3 linked regions of the Kluyveromyces lactis genome follow. The protein of the gene in region 1 binds, or shares a complex with, the protein of each later gene. Links are inferred from orthologs where the notes say so. Each region holds a gene or a part of one and is shown in the gene's direction. Other genes may lie near its edges. The genes, in order: NAM9, MRP10 and RSM18.

What was found.
Region 2: NAM9 (region 1) and MRP10 share a complex: the UniProt entries of both Saccharomyces cerevisiae proteins name them as parts of the mitochondrial small ribosomal subunit. The link is inferred for Kluyveromyces lactis from reciprocal best matches to the Saccharomyces cerevisiae genes NAM9 and MRP10.
Region 3: NAM9 (region 1) and RSM18 share a complex: the UniProt entries of both Saccharomyces cerevisiae proteins name them as parts of the mitochondrial small ribosomal subunit. The link is inferred for Kluyveromyces lactis from reciprocal best matches to the Saccharomyces cerevisiae genes NAM9 and RSM18.

What each region holds. Positions count from the first base shown.
Region 1 is NC_006037.1:1,006,453-1,009,705, reverse strand, and holds NAM9 (mitochondrial 37S ribosomal protein uS4m), read left to right. Parts: upstream 1-1,137; coding exon 1,138-2,586; downstream 2,587-3,253. Other genes in the region: EAF7 (Eaf7p), read right to left, coding at 1-746; SRV2 (adenylate cyclase-binding protein), read right to left, coding at 2,793-3,253. UniProt on the Saccharomyces cerevisiae protein: Component of the mitochondrial ribosome (mitoribosome), a dedicated translation machinery responsible for the synthesis of mitochondrial genome-encoded proteins, including at least some of the essential transmembrane subunits of the mitochondrial respiratory chain.
Region 2 is NC_006041.1:1,178,423-1,180,269, forward strand, and holds MRP10 (mitochondrial 37S ribosomal protein mS37), read left to right. Parts: upstream 1-1,027; coding exon 1,028-1,315; downstream 1,316-1,847. Other genes in the region: succinate dehydrogenase assembly factor SDH5, read left to right, coding at 217-708; FAD1 (FMN adenylyltransferase), read right to left, coding at 1,462-1,847. UniProt on the Saccharomyces cerevisiae protein: Component of the mitochondrial ribosome (mitoribosome), a dedicated translation machinery responsible for the synthesis of mitochondrial genome-encoded proteins, including at least some of the essential transmembrane subunits of the mitochondrial respiratory chain.
Region 3 is NC_006041.1:409,208-411,734, reverse strand, and holds RSM18 (mitochondrial 37S ribosomal protein bS18m), read left to right. Parts: upstream 1-1,453; coding exon 1,454-1,921; downstream 1,922-2,527. Other genes in the region: KLLA0_E04599g (uncharacterized protein), read left to right, coding at 176-553; KLLA0_E04577g (uncharacterized protein), read left to right, coding at 838-1,224; protein kinase PKP1, read right to left, coding at 2,055-2,527. UniProt on the Saccharomyces cerevisiae protein: Component of the mitochondrial ribosome (mitoribosome), a dedicated translation machinery responsible for the synthesis of mitochondrial genome-encoded proteins, including at least some of the essential transmembrane subunits of the mitochondrial respiratory chain.

The sequences.
Region 1 (3,253 bases):
TCGACAGGTTCATTCGCCAGTTCGCTCACAGATTCTCCAACACTGACTGGCGGAGTGGTCGCCATTTCTTGTTTCGCCTGTACATTATTTTGCTCAGTATCCTTTTCATCGATATCCTTTTCTCGTTCCCGTGGCTCTTCTGACTCTTGTTCTACTTGCGTATCCTGTGATTCCGCACCCTTCAGTTTTGCCTTGTCATCCGCAGAAGCGGTCTCCTCTTGCTTAATATCTTCCACCTCATGATCCCTAGCATGTTCTAACATAAGTTCTCCATAATCTTCCCACGATAGTTCAAATTCCGTCTCTTGCTGGAGTCTATTTTGTAATGGTATTATATTTCTCTTAAGCTCGTCACAATTGTCAACATCATTGTCACTGTCATCATCATTATCTAGTTGAGCGTCCCCTTCTGTCTTTTTGTTTGTAGTTTCGGTTGGTCCGTCATCATTATAAAATTCAGGGTATGGCTGGTTCTCTACTTCATCTGCCTTCTCTAAATTATAGTACCGACTCAATTGTTCCCAAACGTCCTCCCCAGAAAACACTTTATCTGAGCTGCCTTTATCGCTTTGCAAAAGTTTGATTGGATACTGATCTGGCTTGTTCAATCGCTCAAGCAAACACACCATATGGAAGTGTTTATGTATTCCTGCAGGTTTGAACAGCATCATCCATTTAAACAGCCTTATTTCCTCCACTTTACTCCATGTTTGCCCTCTAGGTGATTCTATCTTTACAGCGGACATCGCAGTGAACCGTATCGTATTACTTTTATCTGAAGTATCACAACCTTATACACCAAAAGAACGTTCTTGCAATTGATATAATAAAGTTCCTATCAAGATCGCTGATAAAGCAGATCGTATGAGGCTTGATACCATCTTCGCCAGTCCATCTCAATATGGTTCTATGGTGTTTCTCATCTTTCTAAACTATGAATGCTAATATTTGATATCATATGTCACGAAATTCCTCTAAAAATTTTTCAATATCGGAAAGCTTCAAGCATTAGATAGCGTTTGATTGAAAAATATTATGCAGGTAGTTCGGATATGCAATGTATTTCCATTTCGAAGAGTCCGTAAGCAGTCAATTCTGGTTAGTTTTGTCAATACATTGTGAAGAAAAAGACCAGCAATGCCTAGGAAAGCTGTACTTCTGAACTCTTTGTCCAGAGGGAAGGTTCGTACCTCTTTTAACAAGTACAATTTGTTCAACTTGTATAAGAAATCTCAGGTCAGTTTTAGATCGAAAACACTATACCAACAGAAATGGACTTCTAAACAGGAAACTCGTGCCTACCATGGCGAACATTTAACAGAGAGTAGGTGGCAGTCTGTTTTCGAGCCTCAGCTAAACTCTGTGGCTCAATTAGATGCTTCTCTAAGGGGTGGTGATATCGAACCGACGCCCATTCTATTACAAACATACGCTGTACTAGAGAAAAGGCTAGACTTTGCTTTGTTTAGAGCTATGTTTGCCTCGTCAGTGAGACAAGCTCGTCAGTTTATTTTACATGGCAACGTCCATGTGAATGGTGTAAAGATTACTTCTCCGGGATATGCCTTGAAAGCTGGTGATGTTTTCAACGTCAGACCCGAAAAAGTGCTACAAGCTCTTGGTGCCAAGAAACCTAGCTTGAAGGAAGCTTTGAAAGTGGATAATACCCAAATTTTCCTATGGAACAAATATATTCTAGAGGCTAGAAAGAATCCTAGAAAGTTCTGGGATGAAAAGATCGAAAAACTAAGAACTATGGATAGTAACGATCCAAAGAAACAGGAATTTTTATCCTTCCTCGAAAACTACAACAAAACCATGCACATTCAAATGAGGAAAGAATTAGACCAAACCAGTAACGAGTATTTGTTAGCTAAGATCTTTTCTACCGTTAACCGCGTTAACGATGTAGAAAAATTGGCAGTAAAAGATTTCTTGGGCGAATTTTACAATAACGAAAATTTGGCAGCTAAAGGATTCGAAATTTATAGAGAAGTCAAGTCTGCCAAGGCTGTGGAAACGATAGCAGGGAAGCCTTTGGCTGAAATTCCTAATGAACAAGGTGAATTGCTAAAGGTGGCTACAGGAATAACTAAACCTGTTGATAACACAAACGATGCCTTAAAGAAAAAATTCAGAGCCATCAATCATACTATAGTTGATTTGAGACATTTCTATGAAACCGTGGTCAGAGAACATTATAATGACAAGATGGCATCCGTTGATTCTGTTGATATTCCATACGATGCTAAGTGGGCTGAAAAGTTACCATTGCATCAAAAGATCAATGTTCCTGAACTATTGGAAAACGAACCAGCTGCTCAAAAAGCTATCAATTTACCATGGCAAAAGGGTGTGTTTGGTCGTAACGATCCATCTAAACCATATTTCACTCCGTGGAAACCAAGACCCTTCTTAGCACCATTCGCCATTCTACCACACCATTTGGAAATATCATTCAAGACATGTCATGCGGTCTACTTAAGAGACCCTGTTGCACGTCCAGGTCAATCTGAAGTTATTACTCCATTCGGCTTACCTGTACATGAACGTTCATACATGTACTATGTGAGAAGGGGTAAATAAGTTGACGAAAACAAATACACACGAAAGAATGGATACACTGTGACTATGACAATTTAAAAAGAATGGTGTATCTTGGAAACCTTGTACATATTATTATCATTATTTTATCGTATCATATTATATTAATTATATATATATATTTATATGTTCTAATGAGTAAAGAATAAACTAACACCCAGTAACGAGAAGATATACTATTCAGATATTCAACCAGCATGTTCGTAAATCTTGGTTTGTAGTTTACCTTCGACGAAAGTGTGTATCATCTGTTCTGGAAGTGGAACTTCAACGAAGTCACCATCGGGACCAGTTGGAGTGTTGATGTTAATACCAGTGCTAGAAGAGGTGAAAATTTGAGCCTGTAAAGAGTTTTTACTCAAATAAATGGAGCCGCTATCAGACGCGTCGATGGTGATTTGTGGCAGGGTGTTTTCCACTTGAATACCAAATCTCAAACATTTAATAATATCCACACCACTGATGGAAGAATCTAGCACTAAACTGCATTTTTCTGTTTCATTGACAGTAACTGCGTTGACCTTACCTTTGATTTGTACCAATGTGTTGACACATTTACCGATGAAAACAGATTCGTCAATTTTAGTTTCGATCACTAACGGTTCGGCTTCATCTTCATAATTTTCAATAAACCATTTATTACCGATCA
Region 2 (1,847 bases), on another chromosome or scaffold:
CTAGGTCCATGTACACGTGACCGAACCGATTACGGCACCTTTTTACCCGTCTTGCTATATATAATATTAATTGAATCACAATTTGAATTGGTTGATCTCTCTCCTCCGTTACCCCAGGTTAGGAAGAGGTCCTAATTTGTATTACATATATCTAGTATACCCTCCTCTATACTATCCCTACCTGTCCAGTCAACAAACGACCACTGTCATCTAATAATGCTAAGAACTGTCTTCAACAAACCATCAGTGTTGAAATCTGGAGTTAACTCGATTACAAAGCAATGCCGTTCTCTTCACGCAAATGCTTACTTGTTGAACAAGGGCAACAGCAACGGTGCTGAGGGCCAAGATGACGATGTCACGGTGAGAATCAGAATCCCACCTATCAAGAGAACCGGCGAGTCTCTAGACAAGAAGCGTGCTAGATTAATTTATCAGTCCAGAAAGAGAGGTATTCTGGAAACAGACTTACTTTTGTCACGTTTTGCTGCTAAGTATTTAAAGGAAATGACCCCAGAACAACTAGAAGAGTACGACCAGTTGTTGAACGAACTAGATTGGGATATCTACTACTGGGCCACAGAAAACTATTCCATTACACCTCTTCCTGACAGATGGAAGAACTCCAATATTCTAAAACAATTGCAAGAGTTCAGTAAGAACAAGGATCGTGAAATCCTAAGCATGCCTGATCTTTCCAAATACTGAACATCAGCGGTATACGTACTTGCCAATTAAGCAACAGTATAGTCTATAGCTCTTATTTTATACCCATATGCTCTCTCTCCCTCTGTCGCGGCAGCTCATCATTTCCAGGGCAGGCCCAAGTGAAAAATTTAACCCGTACACCGCATACTTAGATCCAACATTGGCGAAAGTCTCAAAAATTTTGTTAAGATCATAAAGAATGATATCGTTTATATGATGGAAAATATCATAAATGTAGTCGCGTAGTCCGTTCTAGAGGTCTTGTAAGGTCGTGTTGCGAAGGGTACGTCCAAGATATCAAGTGTTCATATATTAAAGCATGTCCAGTAAGACTCCTCTTTATAAATTACCACCTCTTCCCAGACTTAAGGTGAAAAAGCCAATTATTCAACAAGAGGCTAACAGATGCTTGGTATTGATGTCCAATCTATTACAATGCTGGTCTTCTAACGGACACATGTACGGTGCATGTGAGACATTGGCCCAAGATTTGAAGGCATGTACCGCGGAAAATGCCTTAGGTAAGAACCAAAAAGTCCAGAAGAGTAATATCAACTATCATGCTGCTAGATTGTACGATAGAGTTGGTGGAAAATCTCATGATTAGAAAGAAGCAGACAGACTTTCTCCCCCTTCGTTATCACTTGTACATAATACCATTTTCTAATATTACATATATCATCTAAAATCAAGGAATTCACGATTTATTAAATATGATAGAGATTTTTGTAGCTATTTGTGAGTGGATTCATCTCAAACTTTTCTGGCGAGTCTGCCAGCTCTTTCCCACTCGTCTTTCGTTAGATACCATCCCGGATGGAACTCAGATGAATCATGCTGTTTGATGGTATTAAGGTCATTCTCGTTAATTTCGTTACAATGCATGTTAGAATCTCCTCTGTAATTGTTTTCAATTTCCCATTGGAAATCGCTATGTTCAGTCTCGGCCTTTGTCATGGAGCCTATAGGTTCTGGTATCCGTAGGTATGGATTTCTCAATGTGTTGTTTACACTGCCCAATGAAGTGAATCCCATCTCATATAATCCGCATACTTCTTCTCCCGAATACAATAGGAAACTCCATATCTGTGAGAGATTCCAATGTAGCAACGGTTGCAACCTGTAGAACTGGGGCCAAC
Region 3 (2,527 bases), on another chromosome or scaffold:
GGAAGTATAATATGAGTATAAATAACTATAAATATAATCATTATTAGAATTGATACAATTAATAGAATTATTAACCCCCCCTCGCCATTCCTAGATCTAAAGAGACACAACTTGCTATTTGTAGAAAGAAAGCAGCTGCGCTGTTTGATAGATTTAAAGTTAGAGGTTGTCGATAATGATTAATAAGGATAAAATTGTTGATGGAGTTGTTTTTAAAGACGAAGATGATCCTGAAGAAACAGTTGTTTTTAATTTCCATACTTGGGTAGAAATGCTTAAAGCAATTATCGTTAAGTATGCAAATAAAAAAGAAGATGAGGCTGAATTAATGGTTTTATCGTCTTCATTAGTATGTAAGCCCATTGATAGTTATCTGGCAGTATGTCTTCGTAGCCATGAACTTGAGTATCATTGGGCAATGCTGATAGCTTACGGTGAACAGTTTTGGTTGAAAGGAGTAAGCTCTAAACAACCAGATGATTATTTAATATTGGACGAGAGTTATAGAAAAGACCACAATCTAGCTGAAGAAAGTTTTGTATTTAACGATTAATGGATTGAAAGCTGGAAAAGTAGTAATATTTTCCAGCTTTTTAATTTGTTGTTACGTTTATATGTTAACCTACTTAACCTGAATAACCACCAGAGCGGATAGAACACTGACTGATAATAGATGAATTGATGTTACATTGGAAATCACACCAATATTGATAAAATCCTCGAATTAGTTCAGAATCGCAGTTATTTACTGATTCATTATTCCCATCAGATCCAGCCAAGAATCAAGACCCTGCCGAAAAGCTGGGGTAAACGTTTGATTGTGGCCCACGGCTGGCTATGGGCGATTTCTACGTGCGGCAGCAGCGCGCCAGCGCGCCGCTGATCAAAGATCCATTACTGCTGCAGGTTACCGACAATGAAAGCCAGCTAGCCTCGATGCTGGCACACGAAATCTCACACGTGACCAAGCGCAACGCACCGCTGACCTGGGTAGGCACTCGGCTCCATTTTGCTGGCTATAACCAACCTGACTGCCGGCATAGCAGCGCTCAGCGGTACCGTCGCCGGTACCCAGCAAACGGATCATCAGTTTTGGCCAGGTCAAAGAATAGGAGGCCGATTGCATCGGCCTGTAGGTGCTGGAGCGCGCCGGGTTTGATCCACAGGGATGCCCGACTTCCTGCAAGAGCTTTCCGATCAATCGCGCTACACCTCCAAGGTTGATCTGCGTAAACTGGGTTGACAACAGGAAAAAGGTTGAATGCCTGGCAATGACTTAAGTATCCTTTATTTCAATCTCTTTTTTTTTGAAATTTAGAGATCTTTTCAACATGGAAAATTTTATTCAATAACATGAATATTAAGCAAGCAAGAGAAGGAAAACAACCAAGTCGCTCGGGCCTTTCTACGCCTGTTAACGAGAGATTGAATAAATTAAAACACATCAGAAGAAATGTTTTCCCGCAGCTGCGCAAGATTCTTTTCTACCACAAGATATGTCTGCAACAGTCTTGACCAAAAACTTCTGAAAGAAGGTATGTCGGAAGCTAATAGCAAGCCCACAATCAAGAAGCTAGAATCCAAGTTAATCAAAAACTTTCAGCCGGGCTCCGTTTACAATCCATTTGATTTCTCCTTAGAAAGAATACATTTAGATAAGAAGTTTGGGGTACGTCCTGGATCGTTTGACCCATTCAACAAATTGAAGATCAATCCACTTGATTTATACACCAACCCAGAGTTCTTGTCAAGATTTGTGACATCAACGGGTAAAATATTACACAGAGATGTAACTGGTTTATCGGCTAAGAACCAGCGTCGTCTAACAAAGGCTATTAAGAGATGCCAAGCAATAGGTTTGATGTCTAAGGTTCACAAAGACATATCGGTGCTTCCTCAAAGAACTGCAAACAGAAGCTAATCATGACATGTGATAACTTCTTGTATATATGAATATATGTTTCTCAATAAATAGGATTATATCTGTAAATAGCGCTAACAGTATAAACACGTTGCAATGGAAAGCTCCGGGACTGAATGATAGTACAGTGTTCTCATTTGTCGAATAGTCTATCCGATGGACCGTGCAATCGTATATAAACATCAGTACCCCATCCCCACAATGACTGAATGTCAAGTGTACCATTGAACAACTCTAGGTACGCTTTGCACATTGGAAGTCCGAATCCCATACCTGCAACGTTTTGGACTTCTTGACCAGGTAAAACATAATCGCTCATACCGCTGTCCTTCTCTTCCTTCACCGTTGTGGAAAAAGAATAATCAAAGACTCGGTCTTCTACCTGTGGATCTATACCGCCTCCGAAGTCTCTGATTCTGATCTCAAGTTGATCGTCGTTTTTCACTATTGTTACTTCCACATCTTTGTCAACGTTGTTTTCAATATGTGCTCTCGAGCTGTTCTTAAGCAATTCTTGAAGGACGTATTCTAGATCCGTAGGTATATATGAAAATTTCACATCAGACCCTTCCATAATTTTCACTGGAACGGTCTTATCGTATTTGA